5 linked regions of the Oryzias latipes genome follow. The protein of the gene in region 1 purifies or fractionates together with the protein of each later gene. This does not show direct contact. Links are inferred from orthologs where the notes say so. Each region holds a gene or a part of one and is shown in the gene's direction. Other genes may lie near its edges.

Region 1 (4,151 bases):
AGAACCATAACTACAAATGTATTATTCATTCAAATTGTTAACATTTTTCTTCAAAAGTAAAAACTAACTCCCAATGGAGGGATAAAAGAGCCACCTTTGGCCCCAGAGCCTCAGATTGCTGATCAGCCTGAGCAACCTTCTGTTCATTTTCAACACCAATAAACTCATCTGGGGGGAAAAAAAACAAAACATAAAAAACAGGAGATTTTTAATCAACTCCGTTGGTGTATTTGATTCTTTTACATTGATATTTTAAAGTTAAGTTTGATTTTAATTTATAGTAACTTTTGTTTAACTTTAGAAGTATTTATCATGCTTTTGTCTAAGGGGTATCATCATCAGGCTGTGACACACAGCTCAGATAATCCAAAAGTATTCTTGATTGATTTTTAAGTAAAATACGAAACAACTTTTGAGCCTTTTTTCTGTTGTTGTTGATAGTCGATTATGCTAACAGTCCTTCATGCAGAGCACAACTATTTAATTATGAAGCACAGATGAGGAAAAATCCTGAACTTAACATTTGTGTTGTGTGTGGTAGTACTGTACTCACATTTCAAGCTTATGCGAAACGGGTCTTCTGGTGTATCGTGAAATCATTCTCCGGCTTGTATCTCTGCTCTATGATCGGCTAAATCCATCATTTCTCGTCCCTGCCTCCGCTCCAGAGGATCTTGTGGAAAAGTCTAATATTCCTGGCACAACGTTCCTCTGACAAGATGACTCCACGACTGAACAGACAAAAGAATGCTAATGCTCTGTTTAGTGTCATGAGATGCTAAAAATATCAGCTAACCAGCGTGAACAACATCCCTGCAAAATATCAACAGGGCACAAACAACGTTGCAAAATGATGTTCTAGCGTTGTTCTAGCAATGTTATAATGGCACACACAAGCCATCTACAAGCGTTCTATACTAACCATATTTAATACATTTGTTTGTTTTTGCTGTGAGAGGACTGAATGCTAGTACTAGCTAAACCACTGGCAACAATAACGCCGCTGTCATGGATACCAATTGTGTTGAACGCGCTTCTTCATGGGAAATGCAGTTAATTCACAATCTGTGTTGAGCTTAATCAATGAAAACCTACTTCAACTCCCAGCATGCATTGTAACTGGTGGTTTGTACGTCTAGAAAAAGCTTCCGTTATGTTTAGTGGACATTGACAAATTCCAAAAGACTTACTTGAGAATTTAACATAACCACATCATTTTAATATGAGTTTAATAAAAACATTTATATTTTTATTTTTTTGTGTTTATCTAGAAGGGGTATTATTCGCATGTTTTTAAGAAAGCGGAACTTAAAGACGATGGTAGGAACCCGGTTGTAGAGTGTAGTCGGCTTGATATTACCGACGGATCAATCAGTGGCAGAAAGCATCGTGGATGTGTCGTTTTGTAAACATGATTGAAGAATTTTTTGTCATTATTTTTTTCTTTCAATCACATCAACGTAATTTATAGTAAGACAGGGTAAGCTTCAATCCTAAAGTATGTTTATGCAAATTACGTCGTTACGTAATAATTGAGTTTAGCTAACTGTAAACGGACTACAGTGGTAACTTGTCTTTAGTTCTTTCTCTGTTGTGTTGTGCAGTTGGACATACATTGTGACCTTACTTTGCTTATCGCACGTGCACACTAGTTTATTGTTCATTCCTTCCAACAGGTTGCGTGCAAAAGTACAGAAATTGAACAAAAATGGATCTTTTACAAAGAAGGGTATTTCAGGATGATATGGTCCAATACAATCTCTTCTTGCTACCTGCGGATCATTCAACTCTTCAGCAGAACGAGCGACGACTTAAAGAGATGCTTGGAGAGATTTTTGCAAAGCTTGCCCCCATGTTGGTGGAATATATTTGGCAACATCAACCATTCAATCTGAAGTATCATCCATCCAAAGGTAATGGATGGTTATATGATCTATGTTCACTTTAATAGCTTTCTAACTATTAACTTTTGTATATTCCGTTTGCAAACAGGAGACATCCCGGCTCACATTGGAGGCATCACTCAGTTTGGGGACAACGTGGAGGATGAGTGGTTTATCGTTTACCTTCTGCAGCAGATCACAAAGACTTTCTCAGATCTGGTTGTCAGGTGAAGAATATATATGTATTTGAAGTTATATTTTCTTCTTTAAACTAATTCTTGCCAACATTACTTTGGTTTGTTCCCAAATATAATTAATTTTTACTCAGTGTTGAAGACAACGACGGGGAATTTATTCTCATCGAAGCTGCAGATTATCTTCCCAAATGGTTGAGCCCCGATACAAGTGAAAACAGGGTGAGTCAGACACACAGAGGGGCAAATAGTGTGTTTTATATCATATTTCTATACTTTTGAAAGGTGATGGATTACTCTCAGAAAGAGTTTTGATCAGATTTATAGTGAAACCTCTTGAGTCAGAAAAACAGATGATAAAATGTAATATGTTGCAGTATTGCAAAATATTGATAAGCATCTTTAAAATAATTATAACCGGAGAGCTTTCAATATGATGTGAAGAATAAAAAGGGATGGATGACATTGGATTTTTCTGATGTTTTCAATTTGTTGATTGATACCAATAAATTCTATTAACACCTGTGTTTTGACTTGATAAAAATATGTAACCAAATCTCCCCTATTTTTAAAGTTTGTTTTTTTTTACCTCACAACGCATCCCTGCTCCTTTACAAGGAAACAGATTTATTATAATTATAATCTATTATAATATATATTTTTTTTTAGATAGATGCAGCTCTTTTTTTAGCTGAGTAAAAGTTCTGATTTTTTCATTTGAAATGAACAGGGGTAGAAAGTCTTGTGCAATAAAATCTTACAATTTCTGCAAAAACCCACTGAAGTCAATGTATAGCTTGTGACAACCCACCTTCGATAGTTTAAGTGTTAATTATTATAATTTTTTTCAATCTTTTGCAGGTTTTTCTCTTTAGGGGAGAGTTGCACATCATTCCTCGCCCTTCCAAATCGAGTTCTGTGGGCTTCCCACGTAATGTGGTCCCCAGTGTGGAACAGGCTCTCGCACTTCTCTCTGCTCACCCAGAAGCTTGCCAAGCAAGCCCCGGGATACGTTCAGCCCTGAGAAAAAGACTTGTGGGGTGATGCATAAAGAAGACCTTTTAGTATTTCTGCCGCTAAATTTTACATCATATCATTGTGGGTTAAATAATGTGAGAGTGTATACGTTTTTTGCTGACTTAAATCTTTGTAAATGATGGATTGAATTCCAAACCAAAAACCATTTGCTTCTCCTCAGATACCCAGAGAAGATAAAAAGCGGCCTCCACCGTGCTCACTGCTTCATACCGGCAGGAATCGCCACCGTGTTGGCGCATCGTCCTGACCTGGTGGCACCTGCCGTCTCAGCTTTTTATTTAAGAGATCCAGTCGACCTGCAGGCATGTCGGAGCTTCAAGACGTTTCACCCCGACACCAGAGTCCTCACCTCGGTAATGACACGACGACCCGAGTTCTGCTGGATGAGCATGCAGACGAGGTTTTAGCTCAGTTTTGATATCATAAGCACAGAATACCTTCTAAGATTCACCTTTACTCATTTCCAGGTTACGTTTACCCGCTGCCTCTATGCCCAGCTGCAGCAGCAGCAGTTCACGCCAGATCGGAGGAGTGGCTTTAACCTTCCTCCGCGCACTCATCCTCACTACAAAGCCCATGAGCTTGGCATGAAACTGGTTAATCCTTTTTCTTTGTCTTCATCTTCGCATGCTTTGGTTGTGAGCACACACCTTTGTGTTTTCTGTGTAACACGAAGCCTCGTGTCTGTGTTTGGGCTCCACTTTCAGGCTCACGGCTTTGAGATTTTGTGCTCCAGGTGCAGACTTCCTTCTTCAGGGCCCGACGACGCTGCTGTCAGCTGTAACCCTCAGTGGAAAAGCTTCCTGAAAAGTCTCCAAAAGAATGACTACTTCCGGGTTGGTTCACATTTGTTAACAGTTTTGTTTTTTATGAAATGCATTCATGAGGATGATTTGTTTATTCAGTGCTTTTAATTAATTGTTAAATTCGTTTCCAAATGCAGGGGGAGCTGGAAGGTTCGGCCCGGTTTAAAGAGCTTTTAAGATCAGCAGAAGTTTTCTTCAAACAATCCGTTGCTTCAAAATCTAGGTGAGAT
Region 2 (4,182 bases), on another chromosome or scaffold:
TCAGTTTTGACCGGAGCATCTCAAACTTCTGCTAACATGAGGCATCATGCTAGAAATAATGTATTTTTTTTTCTCTTTTCTACGCCGCACCCGGTATAATCCCACTCCCCAAAAATAAACACAAATTGTTTCATTTGTCTCTCTTTAGTTCTAATTTTGACCTGAATGCTCCTATATTTCTTATTAGCATGAAGCCATGAAGGTTCAAAGAGCTTAGAAGTATCTTTGAACTTATGGATCACCAAGGATTAAGTAAATAAACAGAAATATGAATTCATTTTTTAGACTTTGTTTCTGTTATAATCAGTGAGACCAACTTTTTCCTCTGACAATGACACCCCTTTGTATTGTTCAGGGAGTCTAGATAGAGTTAGCTCAGACCTTCTTTTTTGTTGAGGTTCATGTCTGTTCTTAAAGTTTCTGGCCAGAAATTAGCGCATGCATTCCCGTCCCCCTGTGCAAAAGACCCAATCCTGCTTTGCCCTGCAATTTGAAAGAAATCTGTAAAACTTTACGCAATAGAGTGTGCAAAATGACAATGTAAAAACTCCATGTTTGGTTTGTTCAACTTTTAATTTTTGTGTCTTTACTCCCAAACAAACAATGCAGACCTTCTGAAGTGAATGTTTGGTTGAGGGGAATTCTGACTCCAAACTCAGTGAGACAGACGATGATCTGCAAATGATGTTTTCAAAGTAAGGCTAAACATAGCAGCTACAATATTCAAGAGAAGTCTCTTCATGCATCTAGAAAAAGTTTTTTTTAAACTTTTGAGTCTCAATTCAGCAGTAATTATCTGGTGAGATCTTAAATTACACTAATATCTCATTTAGATTTCATGAATAAAATTTGCATTTGTTCCACAGGATTAGACAGTTCTCAAAGTTTCTGTCATTAAATGACAAAAAAATATTTCTCAAACTGAATTAAATGCTGATTCTTGTATTTTTACATCAATGCAGCTGAAATATAACTTTCTTTCTATAAAAGTGTTTTTCAGATGTCAGAATAAAATGTGAGAATATGGGAGAACAAAAACTTTCATTGTAGGAAATGTTCTGCTGGACCAGTTCAGTTACCCCCACCACCCCCACCCCCGCAGTCGGTTCCCATAGTTGTTTATTGTTATAAAATGTGGTTTCTCATTTTTTTTGTCTAAATCACAAATAAAGGGTTTCTTTATTTTATCATTCAACCATAAACTAGACCTCTAAACTTTTATTCATTAATACCATTATTATTAGAAAGTAACGCTAGTTGATGAGAAGAAAAGCTTCTCTTTTAGTGTCCTATCTTCCAAACGAAACCGAAAGCACAAAGGCAGATGATTGATTGCAGGAGTTTCCTCGACCTGAACCGACTGGAATTTGATGAAATCCTAAACCCAGCGTCAGTAGTCCATGACGGGGAGGAAATTGAGCAGCAGCAGCAGCAGCCTGGGTGATGCTGGAAAGACGCAGCGCTGCGTCGGCTGTGACTGACCCCGCTGCAGCTCTGACCTCTGCACCTGAGAAAGTGTGCAGTGCAGACAGTACCGAGAGGAAGCAGAAGGATAATGAGAGCAGCTGGAGCGTTAATTCCACGAACCTGCAAGTCACTGTCAGACATAGGTTTGCTCGTCTGAGGATCCTGCTGAAGAGCATAATAAATGGTAAGCGCACTGGTGCGTAATTACGCACGCACAGTGACAAAGTGAGTTGTTTTAGTGCTTTGATGCCAAAGCAGAGATTGAGAATTAAACCTGAGACTCGGACTTGAGTCTCACTTCAGTTTCAAAGGCAGGGATTTAAGACTTGAAAGCCTATTTAAGACTGAAACCTTAACTTCAAGAGCATCAGACTAGACTTTGAGGACTTGAGAACATTCTTAGTTTATTTTTAGTTTTACCTTAAAAAAAAAAAACAGATTGAGGTCTAATATTTTTGTGCTGTATGTGTCACTATTAGGTGGTTTAAAATACTGTAATGACATTAGTGAGAATCACACATTTTTAAAAATAATTTCCAACATTTTGGATTTGACTTGTAACCAAAGACTTAAAACCAGACTATGACTTGGGAAAAGTGGATTTCAGAGCATTTTAATGCCAAAGTCTGTGCACTTTGTCTTTCTGTCATGTGATACAAAGATGCCCAGGAGCCGAGTGATTTTATTCAGTCTTCACTGGGCTGCATTTAAGGTACTTCCACACCTCTTTCTTTTATGCAGTGTCTGACCGGAACTCTACTCCACAGTGTCCTGGTGGTTCTCTTGTTGGCCAACTCATCTGGTAAAAGTAAATGTAACTACAAAGACATACTGGGCTTCTACAGAGAAGTCATCTTCGTTGAGCTGCAGAATCTGGTATGACGACCAAACTGACCGCAAAATAAGAATTTCAATGTTTGTTTATATTCAACAGCCTTTTACCTACAGCTGACACTAAGAAAAGTGTTGGAATATATGGTTAGAGACTGCCCTCCAGTGTTTGTTTTGCAACACACACACAAAGAAAAGCCTCAAAACGAATTTTCCCACACTTTGAATGAGATGAAACTGGATTTCTAAAATAATATTTTTGATGACTAATGTTTTTCAGAATTTGACTGTTTCTCACAACTCATCCAAAGGGAGAGATCCCTGCCCCTCTGCAAAGGTGAGCATCAATGCTATAGGTACATTAGATGTAGTTTGGTGGCTGTAAAACGGAAATCACACACACAACAAATGCAGTAAACGTAGTAACAAAAATGGAAACAAATTACAGAAAACTGTTAAAATAGAACATTTAAAAATATTTTGCTTTAAAAAAAAAAAAACAATATTAAAAGTAAAAACAAAAAAACAAAAAAGGAGATTTCTTTAACCCTGATGTGACATATTTGTTTAGTTTGGCAAGTTTTGTCTACCCAAATACTTGCATTGTTTGTTATCAAGGTCTTTAAATGCTGTCTGTTTTCTCCTTTTTCCTGCCATCTCATGGCAGGCACATCGCATCCTTGTGTCCATATACATTAACACACAGCAGGTCCTCTGTTTGAAGAGCGGCAAGAAGCTGTCTGACCTGAAAAAGCCAATAGAAAACATGGAGCAGCTCATCGTTCAAAACTGCAGTCCTAATTATATGGTGAGAAAAAGTACCGATGCAGATCTTTGAAGTATGCAAAAAAACTTAAAAATCTGAACTAATTTATCTTTTTTTTCTTTTTTTCTTTTACTTCTAGGGAAAGAAAAACCCCTGTTCATCTGCCCAAAAAATACAAGGGAGAAAAGGCAAGAGATTTAGGGTGATCAAAACCATAAAGGCATTGATTAGATGTTGGGAAAAACTCAAAAGTGTCGTACCCTCTGATAAATAGTATGACTTTGGTCCCTAGGACCCGTGCTACTCTATGCACTCAAATTTCCAGATGGTTCTTCCAATCTGGTCAAGATAGACTTTGTAAAAAAAAAAACGGCTTCCTCTTTTATTGGAATGCTCAAGTTGTTTTATTCCTCCTTTTTTTAACAGTTGTCGAGATCTCCGAGTTTTGTGATTAAAAAAACGCCATCCACTGCATGTCAGCATTCCTCTTTGCAATATGAATTGTTTCCTAATAAGCCAAGATAAGCTAAAAAGTATTCACTCACCATTCAGATGTTCTCCAGTAAAATATGCACATTTTCATTCTTTGTAGCATGTTTTTTTTGAATGACATATTGACATTATACATATTTCCTGTCTTTTTTACTGTAATTTCATTTAATAAAATACTGAATATTTATTAATACTTTTATTAGAGAGGAAATTGTTGGTTTTGTTGTTTTTTATAAAAGGAAATCTTAAAGAGTGGAACTGTTCTTAAAAAGAATGTTTCCGACGGAACAAATAAGGTGTTACGCAGCGTCCGCCAGTGTTTACAGCCGAGAGTCCGCGAAGCGAATTCGCCACGAATCTGAACATTATCGTAAAGTAGCTTTTGTTCTTTGCATGTTAGTAAAAAAAAAAGTGCGAAGGGCAGTTCTTAGTCAGAATTATACTCTTTTCATTGTTTGTTTTCGTAACATTTACAGCGACGCAGAAATGCGTTTTTGTTCCTTAACAACACTCCCCTGAAGCAGCTTCTTCACTAGTCTGTGACTGTCTGTGGGACGTTCTGGGTAATCCTTTCCAATATTCAGGACACTTGTATTTTATTTTAGGAGGTTATTTGTGACACAAAT
Region 3 (4,218 bases), on another chromosome or scaffold:
AGAACAGCAGGCTGCCGGTCTGGAAGGTGTCCGGCAGAGTCGCTCCTGACCGCCGCTCCGACCTCTGCAGCTGCGTCCCCGACCTCTCAGAGTTCTGGTGGTCTGTCCCGCTGTCGTCGTCGTCATCCTCGTCTTCGTCACTGACGTCTCCAGCATCATCGTTCTGGAACAGAGCTGCAGAACCCAGCGGAGGTCATGAATGATGGCTGTGAAAGTTTGTCCAGCGCCACTTTTCAAAATAAAAGACTGTTAATGCTTTTTTAAACTTTGAAGGACTTTAAAAAAAATGTTTGCATTGATTTAACTCATTTATAAAGTTATTTTGCTATTTTAAAAAATATGCTTTCAACTCTAATTTTAATAATAATTTCATAGGCATTTTAAATGTTATTTTTGTCCTTAATTGCTGTATTTTTAGTAAGTTAACAGGTTTTAAGGCTTTTTCCGGTCCTCCTGTGTCAAAATCCTCATGAAAGCAGATATTTTCTCTTCTCTTTTATTTAACAATCTGTTAAACAACTTCATAGAATCAACAAAAGAGTCACAAATACTGTGTCTACATACACAAATAAATGAATTTATTTACACCCCCGTTTTCCAGGTGTCAAACTCCAGGCCTCGAGGGCCGGTGTCCTACATGTTGTCCAACCAACCTGCCATGAAGCACACCTGATCCAGGTAATCAGTAGCAGATAAGGCAGGATATCTTAAAAAAAAAAAAAGAAACAGTCTGACACCCCTTTTGCGGTCTTCTATAGGTATATTTTGTTTTTGTAATAACATAATTGTGTTATTTGTTTATTTCAACATCCGTTAATGTCTACTCAGATGAGAGTGAAATATAATTATTTGTCGTATTTGGGTTAAGTTTGGAAAATCCTGCAAGATTGACAGTTCCGAGAATGCAGCTCAGGCTGACGACATATGAAGACGCTGCGTTCACAGACCGCCGGAAACTCGGATAAAAAGTCTGCTAAATCTCCAAGCTAGCAAACCTCGACGGCAGCGGTTAGCTTGTCTCATACACCGACTCGGAGGAAAGAAAACTCAAACCAAAAACGGTAACGTAACAAACCTTGCGCTACATCCAATAAACCGGGTCCCGCGGAGCAAACGCTGTCCGTCTCGACCTGAGGATCCAGATCGACCACCACCAAGTCCGACACGTCGCTGACGGTACACCCGGTTTCCAGGGCTTCGAACTCCATTGAAACGCTCGCCAGAGTCTCGGTTTAACGGGATTAAATGAGGATCACGCGGCACTTGGAGCTTTGAAACAACAAGCGGAGTTCTGAGCCCACGCCCTGACACTTTCAAAAGATCCCGGTCTGCTGCAGCTCAGCCAATCACAGCAGGGAGCTATATAAAGACCCGCCCTTGTTTTTTTACATGCGCGGATCGGCTCGGTCTGCAGTACCACAGGACAATCGTTAGGGGGCAGTAATGACGTAAACATTACACGATCTACCGTAGAAGAAGAGGGTTTCGGCCGGCGGTCTGCGCTATTTCAAAGGTACAAACGGGATTTAAGTCAAAACTACGCGTATTATATAAATATTTGTCATGTAAACAACAGCGCATTTCGCAGCTCTTTTCGGCTAGACAGCATTTTTGTTTTGTTTATAAGCATTTGTAACGTTGTTAGCATGTCGCGCTACTACTAGCATCGTGCTACTTAGCATGCTAACTAACTTCAGTCTGAATCTTGTTTTTACGAAGTCAATATTCCGAGTTATTTTTATTTTTATTGCCAATCTTTTTAAATAAAATCAAAACAAAAGCTTTAGTTTTTTAGGCACAAAAAAAATTCATATATGAGATGAAACAGATGTTTTAATTCATGCGCTGTTAAGGCTGATGATCATGATGATGTTATTATTGTTGTTCGCACGTATTTTTACTAGAAAACAAAGTTATGGAAAACATATTTAAAGTTAAAATCCCATTAACTGTGAGAAAATTGTACTTTGATCCTGGAGGAGCGGAGAGCTGCAGAAACAGCCGCTCAGGAACCAGGGGGGTATTTTCTTTATTTTTAGCTTTTTTTTTAATTGAAAAAACACTTGAGGTTTACAATTTGTAACAATTGTATACAATTATGACAAGTATAGAAAAGTAGAAAAAGTACAGGACATGAACAAACAACATAGGCAGGATAAAATAAAAATATAACAATAATACCGAAAAAAAATTAAATAAAAGAAATTAAAATAAAAAGGGGGTCACATAGACATTTTAATGATTCTTGACTTGGGGGGTTCTCAAAAAGCTGCAAGTTACATATAATACTTTGAAGTTCCATAGCAAGTTTGATTTCCATGAAGTTTGCAGATGAAAAAAAGAGCAGAGTTCTTTATGAAATGTAAAAGAATATGGTTGGATTTCAAGGAATTGACATTTATGTATATAGAATTTACCCAAAATAATTACAACATTTAAAATAAGTTCTGTGTTTTTTTGTTTTTTAAATTAAACCCAAAAATGATGTCCTTAATAGAAAAGTCTGCTAAATGTGGGATTTGGGGGAAAAGCCAATAATTCCAAAAGACATTAGAGTCAAAACATTCAAAGAAAAGATGCTCAGTTGTTTCAATGTCATCATGACAAAAAGAACAGCAGTTTTCAGGAATTCCAAACCGTTTTCTTAGTAATTCCTTGGAAGGGTAAAATACCTGAAAAGGTTTTAAAATTGACTTCCTTGGCTTTAGGAGGGATGGGGAGTTTGAAATATTTGGTTCGTATTTGTTTCTTTTCTGAATTATTGAAATATTGGGTTATATAATTTGAATTTGAGATGTAGGGAAAGGACGTTTCATTCAAATATTCTCTGATTTGATGGTTGGGGAGTTTGAGTTAGGGTTACCAAGTCCAGCGTAATTACACTAACTCAAATCTGGTCATACCGACATACCCAGAGTAAGCAAGTTCAGGCGGATTTCAGCCAGAGTTCAGGCTTAAAGTCAGGCTAGTTTAAACGTGCTTCCTGGATACCTGCCTGAACTTACCGAAATCCTAACCTTGACCCTTCCTGTGGGTCCGTGCAGCCAATGACAACGTTCAGCACTGGCTGCACGTGCGCATTCTTGTAATTATTGACCTTTTATTGGGTCATTATTTCAAAACATTTATTTCAAGTTTGTTTTGAATTGAACAGAATTAGGACTTAAATAATTATGCTTGCTTTTAAAATGGATGTAAACATAGAGGATCATTATTATTTTACAGGTTATTTCCAAAACCCTCATATTTACTGTTGGATGCTCGGTGGTCCGTCCTCACAGGTCCTAGCAGCTTGTTGTTGTTTTGGTAGATGTTAAAACCAGTCCATGCAGGTTTGATGGGGTGGCCTGACCTTTGGTGTCTTCCTCTACAGTTTTGGGGTTCCCACCTGACCGGGTTTGTCTTCCTCGCGGCTCGGGGTTCGGCTGCAGCCGCGGCTGAAGATGTCGCAGCAGAAATGCGTCCAGAGCTGCGGCGACGACCAAGAAGGCTTTGAGCTGTCGGCCAGTGACGAGTCGGAGCCCGAGGAAGAGCTGAGCCGGGCGCCCTTTGACCCGGAGCTGGATGACAGCGACGACGGGGGCGAGGAGGCGTGCGCTCTCGGCGCCACCCGCTCAACTGCGAGCACGTTCGTCTTGAGCGGAGGGAACTCTGCGTTCTCCGACCGCAGCCGCAGCGTCTTCGACTGCCTGGATGGCGTCGAGAGGCAGACGGCACCTCTGCTCCCCGAGGAGAGCATGCCCCCTCCCAAATGTCCCCCTCCTGCAAAGAAGAGGGGGGTCCCGGACTACCTGCTGCACCCTGATCGCTGGACGCGCTACAGCCTGGAGGACGTGAAGGAGACCACTGATCAGGAGAACCGCAGGGCGGCGCACAACTTCCTGTCCAGTCTGCGGCCTGAAGAGGGCAACCGCCCCCCCGGTGAACCCCCCCACGACCAGCAGCAAAAGGTGGTCTTCTCTAAACCCAAACGAGCGTTCAAGGAAGAAATCTCTGAGTCAGACCAGCAAGGAAAGGAGAAGAGACTGCACCTCAGTCACCTGGCTGAGGAAGAGGAGGAGGACAACAAGGCTGCTGGAAAGACCCAGCAGGATGCAGAGGAGGTCAGAGACCAGCAGGAGTCCCTCCCCAGCTTCACCCCCTTCAAGAAAATGAAGAGGAAGAGCTACAGAAGGAGCTCGGATCACAAGGATGAGTGCTAAAATGCTCGATTTGATG
Region 4 (4,213 bases), on another chromosome or scaffold:
AAATCCATTTATATAATATTTATTTTTTAGTGAGGTTAAAAAGCTTTAAACCATTATAATAACATTAATCCAAAGGATCTTTTTAATTAAACCTTTTTAGTAAATAACTTATTTTCATTTTTTCACATAGAACATAATTCCATCTAAATGCTTTTTTTTTTTTTTTACCAAAATGACGTAATTTCATTTTTAATAAAATGCTAAAAATTTTGACTGGATAAAAAAAAAAAACTTTACAAAATAAATTTGGGTTCCCAATAAGAATCACCTATTATTCATTTATAAATGCTCGCTTTAAACTTCCAAATTTAAAACATGTGAACAGGAAAAAAGTTTTCTTCTTCCAAAGTACAAACCACTGTTGCTTTGATCAAAGAAATAACAAATGAATCTGTTTCTTTCGTTTGGCCCTCAAGGCTCTTTGTTCAAGTTCAGGTCATTGTCTACTCCCCCCAAAAAAACAGTTTCTGCATCTATGCTTTTGTCAAACGCTAACGAAAAACTTATAAATGACATTCTACAAGTGGCTGCTCTTGCTGTCAACTTTTCTTTTTTATTATTTACAGTTGACATTTTAGAAATGAACTGGAAAGGTTCCGCATCGGCTTGTTCAACAGACAGTGTATCCACAGATTTACAATTTTTAAAAATGGAATTTAGCCAATCACAGTTAAGAAATTGTAACACAGTCTACAGAAGGTGCTGGGGGCTGGATACGGATTTTGTGACCAGAGGCTGCAGCCGGTGGAAATTTGAAAGCAAGGCCCATGGGCCGGACTTTGGACATGCATGTCTTACATCAAGAATAGGCTTTAAAAAAGATAAAGTTGTTAATTAGTTTCTACTGCGAAACACTACGTGGACACACATTCTGGCAGACTTGACCCTCCTGTTAATTATAAAAGTGAAACTGGAAAAAATGTTGGCGGTGTAAAATGACTTGAACACAACATGGGATAGTTGGGGATTAAAAACATCCACAGGTTCCGAATTAACTGCTCTTGCCACTTTATTTTGTGATGTTATTTTGTGCTTTTACATTTGTAAAACTGTCACACAGCAATTAAACAAAATTCATTCAACGGTAAGCAAATCAGTCATAAACAGGAAAGATTTGTGGGAAAATAGCATTAAAAATGATCTTTTTTGTAAGGTGCTTTTGTGCTGACGTTCAAATCAATTGGAAATTAGCAACTCCATAATAACTCGCTCTTTCTTTCATTTGGCGTACAAACTATTAATTGTGTCCCCAATCCTGCGGGGGCGGTAAAGCTCCGGAAACAAAGACATCCGGGTATTCGGCATCCCTACGTTTGCGTAGATTTAGCGTGGAGCAAATGCGACAGCGATGCCATTTTAGCCGCGTGATACGTTTATTTCTGTCGTAAACTCTGCTTCTGAATGCCACAGACCTGCGTTCATCCTCCGTTGTCGTCGAGTCGAACGGCAGCGTGAGTGAGCGGGGAAAAAGAGAAACTCAATCAGAAGAGCCGATATGTTATGGTAGCCGAGAGCGAGAGCGCCGAGGCTATTTGAACGTTGCAACAATACTGCTGTGGTGAAGGTAGGAACATGTTTGCTGTTGTCTTTAACTTACTCTTTGTTACTTAACGCGAGGAGATGCTAACGCTAGCAGCATGCTAGTTTACGGCGCTGTAACGTTTGGCCTAAAACAGTTTACCCGGATTTTTTATATTAGTGTCGCACACTTCATTTGAAATATAACAGCGCTTTTAAAATTGACCATGTCAACATTTAATTGACTATCACAAGTGGATAATGGTGCCTTGATGTTTATTTTGTGCACTTTGTGGGAAGTGTGCCCGTTAGCCGGGAAGCCATGTTGATTTAGCCTAGCATGTTACACAAACGAGAGCCTGCAAACAATAATCCTGCTTCCAAGCAGTTATGTGTTAGTAAATAGTTGAAAGTTTAGTCCCTTTAAAGTCTGTAACCTAACTCTTTTTTTTTTTTTTCAAATTTGATGTATGTAGTTTTGCATCTTACAGTTTTTAAAAAAAACTTTATATTTCACAGTTTGCTACAGTATGGCAGTCAACTTTCCATTCAGAGGGGTCCCTCCTGGGATGCCCCCAGTTGTTCCCCCTGGTGTGCCTCCAATTGTGCCGCCGGGCGTACCCCCAGGTGTCCCCCCTCCTGTGCCAGTTCCGGACTTTATGTCTGAAGAGAAACTACAAGAAAAGGGTGCGTTGTCCGTTGAGTTTGCCTTTCTTTAAGTTTTGTTTTTAACATCTAATACATGTATTTCAAACATTATTCTACTAAAACATTTTTCCATCTTTAGCACGGAAATGGCAACAGCTACAAGCCAAACGCTATGCCGAGAAGAGGAAGTTTGGCTTTGTGGATGCCCAGAAGGAGGACATGCCTCCTGAACATGTTCGCAAGATCATCAGGGATCACGGCGACATGACCAATAGAAAGTTCCGGCATGACAAAAGGGTCTACCTTGGGTAAGATGAAGCATTACTTTCTGCAGATGCAAAGTCATTTGAAGTCATGTTATTTTTCTCTTAAACATTTTTTTTTAACTTTATGGAACCCTCCACTGTTCCTCTGCTTGTCTTTTTGGATACATTAGTATTAGTTTCCTGGTCAAAACTACTGTTATTGCAGACCCTTTACATGCCTTCCATTCTCTTTTCTGTTGTTTAACAGTGCTCTCAAGTATATGCCCCACGCTGTGTTGAAGCTGCTTGAAAACATGCCGATGCCCTGGGAACAGATCCGAGATGTGCCGGTGCTGTACCACATCACTGGAGCCATTTCATTTGTGAATGAAATTCCGTGGGTCATAGAGCCAGTCTACATTGCTCAGTGGGGGTAAGTGAGTAGTATCATCCTAGTTTTGTGGAATGTGTGTAAATTTCATTGTAATTGCAGTCTTGCTATTTATCTGTTGAACAGTTTTCTCCAACTTTATTTTTTTTCCCCCCAGCACCATGTGGATCATGATGCGTCGTGAGAAGCGCGATCGGCGGCACTTCAAAAGAATGCGCTTCCCACCGTTCGACGATGAGGAGCCTCCGCTCGATTATGCTGACAACATTCTTGACGTGGAACCCCTGGAAGCCATCCAGATGGAGCTTGATTCTGAGGAAGATGCCTCAGTTGTTGAGTGGTTATATGAACACCAGCCCCTCAAAGACAACTCCAAGTGAGTGTCCATATATGAGTCCAAGCTTCAGCTCAACCATTCTACATTGCGATCCTACTGTTAACAAATGTACATTTTTAGATATGTGAATGGAACCACCTACCGTCGATGGCAGTTCACATTGCCCATGATGTCAACGCTGTATCGTCTGGCCAATCAGCTTCTGACAGACCTGGTGGATTTCAACTATTTTTACCTGTTTGACCTCAAAGCTTTCTTCACATCCAAGGCTCTAAATATGGCCATTCCAGGGGGACCAAAGTTCGAGCCGCTTGTCAGAGACATCAACCTCCAGTATGTCCCTGCATGTTATGTAACAAAACAGTTAAGACATTTTCTGTTGGGTTTCTTTTTTGTGTCATGTGGATCTCTTCTTTCTTGCTTTGGCAATTAAGAGTCGTAGTTAAACTTTTGTTTTCATACAGGGATGAGGACTGGAATGAGTTCAATGACATCAACAAAATCATCATCAGACAGCCAATAAGGACAGAGTACAAAATTGCATTCCCTTACCTGTACAACAACTTGCCACACCACGTGCATCTCACCTGGTAACGAATAAGCTTTGGTGTTTACAAAATTGCTGTGTTTCTCCAAATTTGTCATTTTGATCATTATGTTTACTCACGTCTTTATTATTGTCTAGGTACCATACCCCAAATGTGGTGTTTATCAAAACGGAGGATCCAGATCTTCCAGCGTTCTACTTTGATCCGCTGATCAACCCCATTTCCCACAGACATTCTGTCAAGGTGTGAATCTCAGATGATCTCATTGTTTTGAGAGTTTTTTATGATTCTCTGATGAGAAGACTTTATTTATTGACCTAATCCTCTTACAAAGGCGCACTTGCATTGGCCTGCTTGCCTGTGCGTAAGAACAGGAGGAAAAGCAAAATGAATGGTGATCATTTTAATTCATGTCTGACTGCAGCTGCAGGGAAAAACCTCACCGTTTAGACAATGTTCACTTTCTCATTGCATACCGGCAGCCCTAAAAACACATCATTTAGGTTATTTATGTCTCCTGGTGATT
Region 5 (4,082 bases), on another chromosome or scaffold:
TAGAGGAGCGATCACTGCATCAGTCTGGATCTGGATGTTTTGCCCCATTTGATATCTAGGGGGACCTAGAGGAGCACAACATAACAGTAAAGTCTTTTTGCCCTGACTTTAAATTAACACCAAAAACACCAAAAGAGTGTCTCCATAAAAAATAACATTTATTTACAAATTAATAAATACCGATCGACAATAACTAAAAGGTGAAGCAAAAAGGCTTCAGGGTGAACCAAACCCAAAATAACAAACAAAACCCCACCTGACTGAGATCTGAAATCTTACCTGTGACAAAACAATAACCTCCGTGGAGACAGGTTGCAGCAAAGCTCCCTTCTGGCAGGCTGGGGGTCCACATGCTGCTTGTAAAGGCTGCCTCCATCAGCTTGGGTCCAAAAGGAAGCCACACCCTTTCCAGCACCAAAGTAATCAGACAGACACACAAAAACCCACAAAACACAGAAGTCCCACTATGATACAAAAAAGACAGAACAAAAAGAACAAAACCGAATACGGCCACAGCCATAACACTGGAGGTCCAACAGGATCTTTGCCCTCTCATTCTCTACCACTTCAGAGGTGTTTCCCATTTTGACTTTATGGTTTCCAGTTCATATTCTGCACACATGTTCCTGTATATTATTCCAGCCACTTGATTGTGGCGCTCCATGTATGCTTTCCCTGCCAGTATCTTACACCCTGCAGTTATGTGCTGGATTGTTTCAGGCGCCTCTTTGCACAGCCTACACCTTGGGTCTTGTCTGGTGTGGTAGATCTGAGCCTCTATTGCTCTGGTACTCAGGGCTTGTTCCTGAGCTGCCAGGATGAGCGCTTATGGCTGAATAATCTTTTCACCTCTATTGTCCTTTTCAAGTTGCATGGGTTATCCTTAAACTAATCTTGAAAAACTTTTTATTTAATGCTTTTTGAAGTCTATAGTTATCATTATATTTTGGGGATACATAAAAATATATAATGTTTGAAAATTTTCTTAATTATTTTCATGTTATACCTACTGTTAAATCCAAACAATAATTAATTTCTTCTTTTTTATTAATTTTACTTTTCTAATCTTTTAAATTTAGCTTCAGCATTTTAACCTGACCGATTTTACTATTAAATTGTGGCTTTAGCAATAAATAAATTTATTTTTATTTGTTTCTTTTGTTTTATATTCCACCTACTTTTATTTTTTAGTTCTGAAATGAATTTCCTTTTAGATAGTTGAAGTAAAAATGATTTTAAAATGTTTCTCCACAAGAGGGCGGTAACGAGTTTTCCAAGTGCTTTTACCACCATAGAAGAAGAACCGATGCCGAAGAAGAAGACATACGTCAGACTGGACAGAGTGTAGACCAGTTTCGGGATAAATCTTTCCCGTTGTTTTGTCTTCTGAGAAAGTTTAAAATTGTTAAAATGAGCAAGTTTAACGGACCGGTGGAAAGTGAGGCTTATGAAATCGATGAGCCAAGCGACGAAGAACGCGCTTCGAGCAGGTATGATGTAAACAGACGGTTAGCTTCATGCTAGCAGCACGAGGCTAACAACAGCTGAAAGCAACAAAAACGGATAAAAACATTACATGTTTATGATTTGGTTTTTAATGATGTTTTTGATTTTAAAGGTAGAATATATGCAGGATAAACCAGTTCCTAGACGTTTAATTTTAAAGTTTGAATCAGGTTTTAGACCATGATAAAAGAGACGCAATATGTCGCATTTTGGCGCTGTGTTTTGCTTTGCTTCATGATCGTCATCATGATGAAGGTTTCCAAAAGTCCAGTTTTGAACAGAAACGCCTGTCTTCAGCTCCGAGGACGAGCTGGACGTGCTGCTGAACGGGACGCCGGACCAGAAGAAGAAGCTGATCCGGGAGTACCTGACCGGGGAGAGCGAGTCCTCCAGCGGGGATGAGTTTGAGAAGGAGATGGAGGCAGAGCTGAGCTCCACCCTCAGGACCATGGAAGGAAGCTGGGCCCCTGCAGCCGGTAACCCGTAACACGCACAGACACACACAGGGCCCTTCCAAACACAGAAACACCAAGCTTTTGTACAAAAGAGAGCTGCTTGTTGTTTTGAACCACTTTACCACATTGGAGCCACCAGCCCCAACCTCAGCCGCCTCCCAGCATCATCATCAGCAGCAGCAGCAGCAGCATAACTGTCCGTCTCTCCTTTCAAAACCATCTCATTCTGCTTCTAGAGCCTGATCTGGGGGGTATTCCAGAAAGCAGGTTATGCTAGTTACCACGGTAAGTTTGAGGCTAAGGAAGTTGATACCCTCAGCTTTCTGTTTTAGAAATGGAGGTATGCTTCAGGGTAGGTCAAGTTGCCATAGTAACTCATGCTCTGAACATAACCTGGTCTGGAGCAGGTTTAGTTGAAGCTTAGTTTGTTTTCAGAGAGGTGAAGCAGCATGGCGTGTCCATTTGAAGATGATTTAGTGGATGAAGAAGCTCAGATAATACTTTTTCCACCATTGTTCTCCACGCGTTTCCATGGTTACTCCGTAAATCGGCGATCTATTGAGAATGTCTTTATGTACCTGCTGTGCACGAGCATTAACCCAGGGTTACCAAGTCGAGCGCAATTACGCCAACTCATACCCGGTCTTTTGGAACCGACATACCCAGAGTAAGCGATTTCAGGCGGATTTCAGCCAGAGTTCAGGGTTAAAGTCAGGCTAGTTTAAACATGCTTCCTGGAACACCCCACAGGTCTTCTGATGTTTCCATTCCTCCATTCAGTGCAGCTTTAAAAGCTGTTCTTCTCTTTAGAAGCTGCAGACTTTAAGGTCTGAGCTGTAATGAACAGTCAGATCAGTGACCAGCATGGGAGGATTTGTAGATCCAGACAGGTTTCATGCAAAACTCAAAAACAATAGTTTTGACCTGATACCACTCATGTTTGGCTTCTTTACTTTGTTTTAATTAATAAATCATACAAACATTAGAAAAAAGATATATTTTAGAAATACTGTTCAATTTAAAATAGAAAAATGCTCTTTTAATACAATGTACTTGCTATAGTAGAAAGTCAAGTCAAACCAGCCGGAGTCCACAACCTCTCATCCACCAGAACCTTCAAATCCTCCACAATTCCAGGAGAAATTGAATGATTAGTTTGTGTTAAATAAAAGTCCCAAAACAAACCAATAGTTTGTAAATTTTGAATGTTTTTCTGCAAAGGCAGCTCATCAGCTGTTCTCTGGAGGGGTTGGTCTGCTTCTGTATTAATCTGACTGCAGACGAAGGTTTCAGGAGGGATTGCATGTGAAGGTTTCCTCTCTCCTGCAGCAGAAACTGGAGGAGGCAGCGAGGTTGTCGGTTCCTCCAACCCTCAGATGTACGACAGCGTTTACTTTGACTCTGATTCAGAGGAGGAGGACACAGCTGGTAAGACGCACACTGACGCGGCGTGAGCACGGGCATGCTAGGTTCACACCGCCCACGGGAATCCGCGTCTACGCCACTACTTCCAACGAGTCCAAGTCTATGTAAACGCTTGTAAATGCGCATTTCCGGCTTCTTCGGTCAAAACTCTTTTGTTCGTGCATCTCTGCGCGAGTCTTGATGTCTGTTTTTGTACAAAACCTGCACCCACTGAACGCACTTTGAAAGTTAAACCAGTTGAACTTTGACCAATCAGAGAGTCAGATTTGGTAGTGACGCATGCGTAGCATCCTTTTTAATTCACCAAATGGGCTAACTGGTTGAAAGGTGATCAAGAAGGAGAAATTCAAAATGTGCAGTTTGTGCCCTGCCAGAACTACATGACACACCAAGTCTTTCATAAACCGGAATCGAGCCGTGAAAGAAAACGCCTGGAGATTTGCACCGCTTTGAATTTTCCTCCCAAGCCTCCTCCAACTGGAGGTGGTGGACGTGTTGGCGCCCGTCCACTGTGAACACCATATGACAACGCATGTCCAAGAATGTGTGACACGTCTGGTGTGAACGTAATTGGGAGTGGGAATTGGACTAGGAATATTAATGTTAGCGGTTGACCGTTGTACCACCATGCCAGAAATTCTGTTCTAGTACATACATAGAATAATTCTCAGGGTTTGAATGCACGTCATGAAATGA

What was found.
Region 2: the proteins of ecd (region 1) and aar2 purify together in Homo sapiens (affinity purification with mass spectrometry; 3 studies listed by BioGRID and IntAct, counting the BioPlex papers as one, with this or other methods). This does not show direct contact. The link is inferred for Oryzias latipes from reciprocal best matches to the Homo sapiens genes ECD and AAR2.
Region 3: the proteins of ecd (region 1) and tssc4 purify together in Homo sapiens (affinity purification with mass spectrometry; 3 studies listed by BioGRID and IntAct, counting the BioPlex papers as one, with this or other methods). This does not show direct contact. The link is inferred for Oryzias latipes from reciprocal best matches to the Homo sapiens genes ECD and TSSC4.
Region 4: the proteins of ecd (region 1) and prpf8 purify together in Homo sapiens (affinity purification with mass spectrometry; 7 studies listed by BioGRID and IntAct, counting the BioPlex papers as one, with this or other methods). This does not show direct contact. The link is inferred for Oryzias latipes from reciprocal best matches to the Homo sapiens genes ECD and PRPF8.
Region 5: the proteins of ecd (region 1) and eapp purify together in Homo sapiens (affinity purification with mass spectrometry; 3 studies listed by BioGRID and IntAct, counting the BioPlex papers as one, with this or other methods). This does not show direct contact. The link is inferred for Oryzias latipes from reciprocal best matches to the Homo sapiens genes ECD and EAPP.

What each region holds. Positions count from the first base shown.
Region 1 is NC_019873.2:17,934,633-17,938,783, forward strand, and holds the start of ecd (protein ecdysoneless homolog), read left to right. Parts: upstream 1-1,346; 5' UTR 1,347-1,480; intron 1,481-1,676; 5' UTR 1,677-1,708; coding exon 1,709-1,913; intron 1,914-1,992; coding exon 1,993-2,110; intron 2,111-2,211; coding exon 2,212-2,299; intron 2,300-2,938; coding exon 2,939-3,117; intron 3,118-3,275; coding exon 3,276-3,468; intron 3,469-3,582; coding exon 3,583-3,711; intron 3,712-3,822; coding exon 3,823-3,951; intron 3,952-4,058; coding exon 4,059-4,144; intron 4,145-4,151. Other genes in the region: protein FAM149B1, read right to left, coding at 554-600. UniProt on the Homo sapiens protein: Regulator of p53/TP53 stability and function. Inhibits MDM2-mediated degradation of p53/TP53 possibly by cooperating in part with TXNIP. May be involved transcriptional regulation. In vitro has intrinsic transactivation activity enhanced by EP300.
Region 2 is NC_019865.2:15,451,660-15,455,841, reverse strand, and holds the start of aar2 (protein AAR2 homolog), read left to right. Parts: upstream 1-1,381; 5' UTR 1,382-1,651; intron 1,652-2,208; 5' UTR 2,209-2,343; intron 2,344-2,578; 5' UTR 2,579-2,635; intron 2,636-2,965; 5' UTR 2,966-3,106; intron 3,107-3,203; 5' UTR 3,204-4,182. UniProt on the Homo sapiens protein: Component of the U5 snRNP complex that is required for spliceosome assembly and for pre-mRNA splicing.
Region 3 is NC_019861.2:37,264,293-37,268,510, reverse strand, and holds the start of tssc4 (protein TSSC4), read left to right. Parts: upstream 1-1,416; 5' UTR 1,417-1,513; intron 1,514-3,373; 5' UTR 3,374-3,443; coding exon 3,444-4,202; 3' UTR 4,203-4,218. Other genes in the region: shcbp1 (SHC SH2 domain-binding protein 1), read right to left, coding at 1-174, 1,076-1,208. UniProt on the Homo sapiens protein: Protein associated with the U5 snRNP, during its maturation and its post-splicing recycling and which is required for spliceosomal tri-snRNP complex assembly in the nucleus.
Region 4 is NC_019871.2:16,913,016-16,917,228, forward strand, and holds the start of prpf8 (pre-mRNA-processing-splicing factor 8), read left to right. Parts: upstream 1-1,407; 5' UTR 1,408-1,564; intron 1,565-2,037; 5' UTR 2,038-2,048; coding exon 2,049-2,205; intron 2,206-2,305; coding exon 2,306-2,474; intron 2,475-2,679; coding exon 2,680-2,844; intron 2,845-2,959; coding exon 2,960-3,178; intron 3,179-3,259; coding exon 3,260-3,472; intron 3,473-3,603; coding exon 3,604-3,729; intron 3,730-3,824; coding exon 3,825-3,930; intron 3,931-4,213. UniProt on the Homo sapiens protein: Plays a role in pre-mRNA splicing as core component of precatalytic, catalytic and postcatalytic spliceosomal complexes, both of the predominant U2-type spliceosome and the minor U12-type spliceosome.
Region 5 is NC_019880.2:24,339,436-24,343,517, forward strand, and holds the start of eapp (E2F-associated phosphoprotein), read left to right. Parts: upstream 1-1,280; 5' UTR 1,281-1,410; coding exon 1,411-1,490; intron 1,491-1,803; coding exon 1,804-1,982; intron 1,983-3,290; coding exon 3,291-3,389; intron 3,390-4,082. UniProt on the Homo sapiens protein: May play an important role in the fine-tuning of both major E2F1 activities, the regulation of the cell-cycle and the induction of apoptosis. Promotes S-phase entry, and inhibits p14(ARP) expression.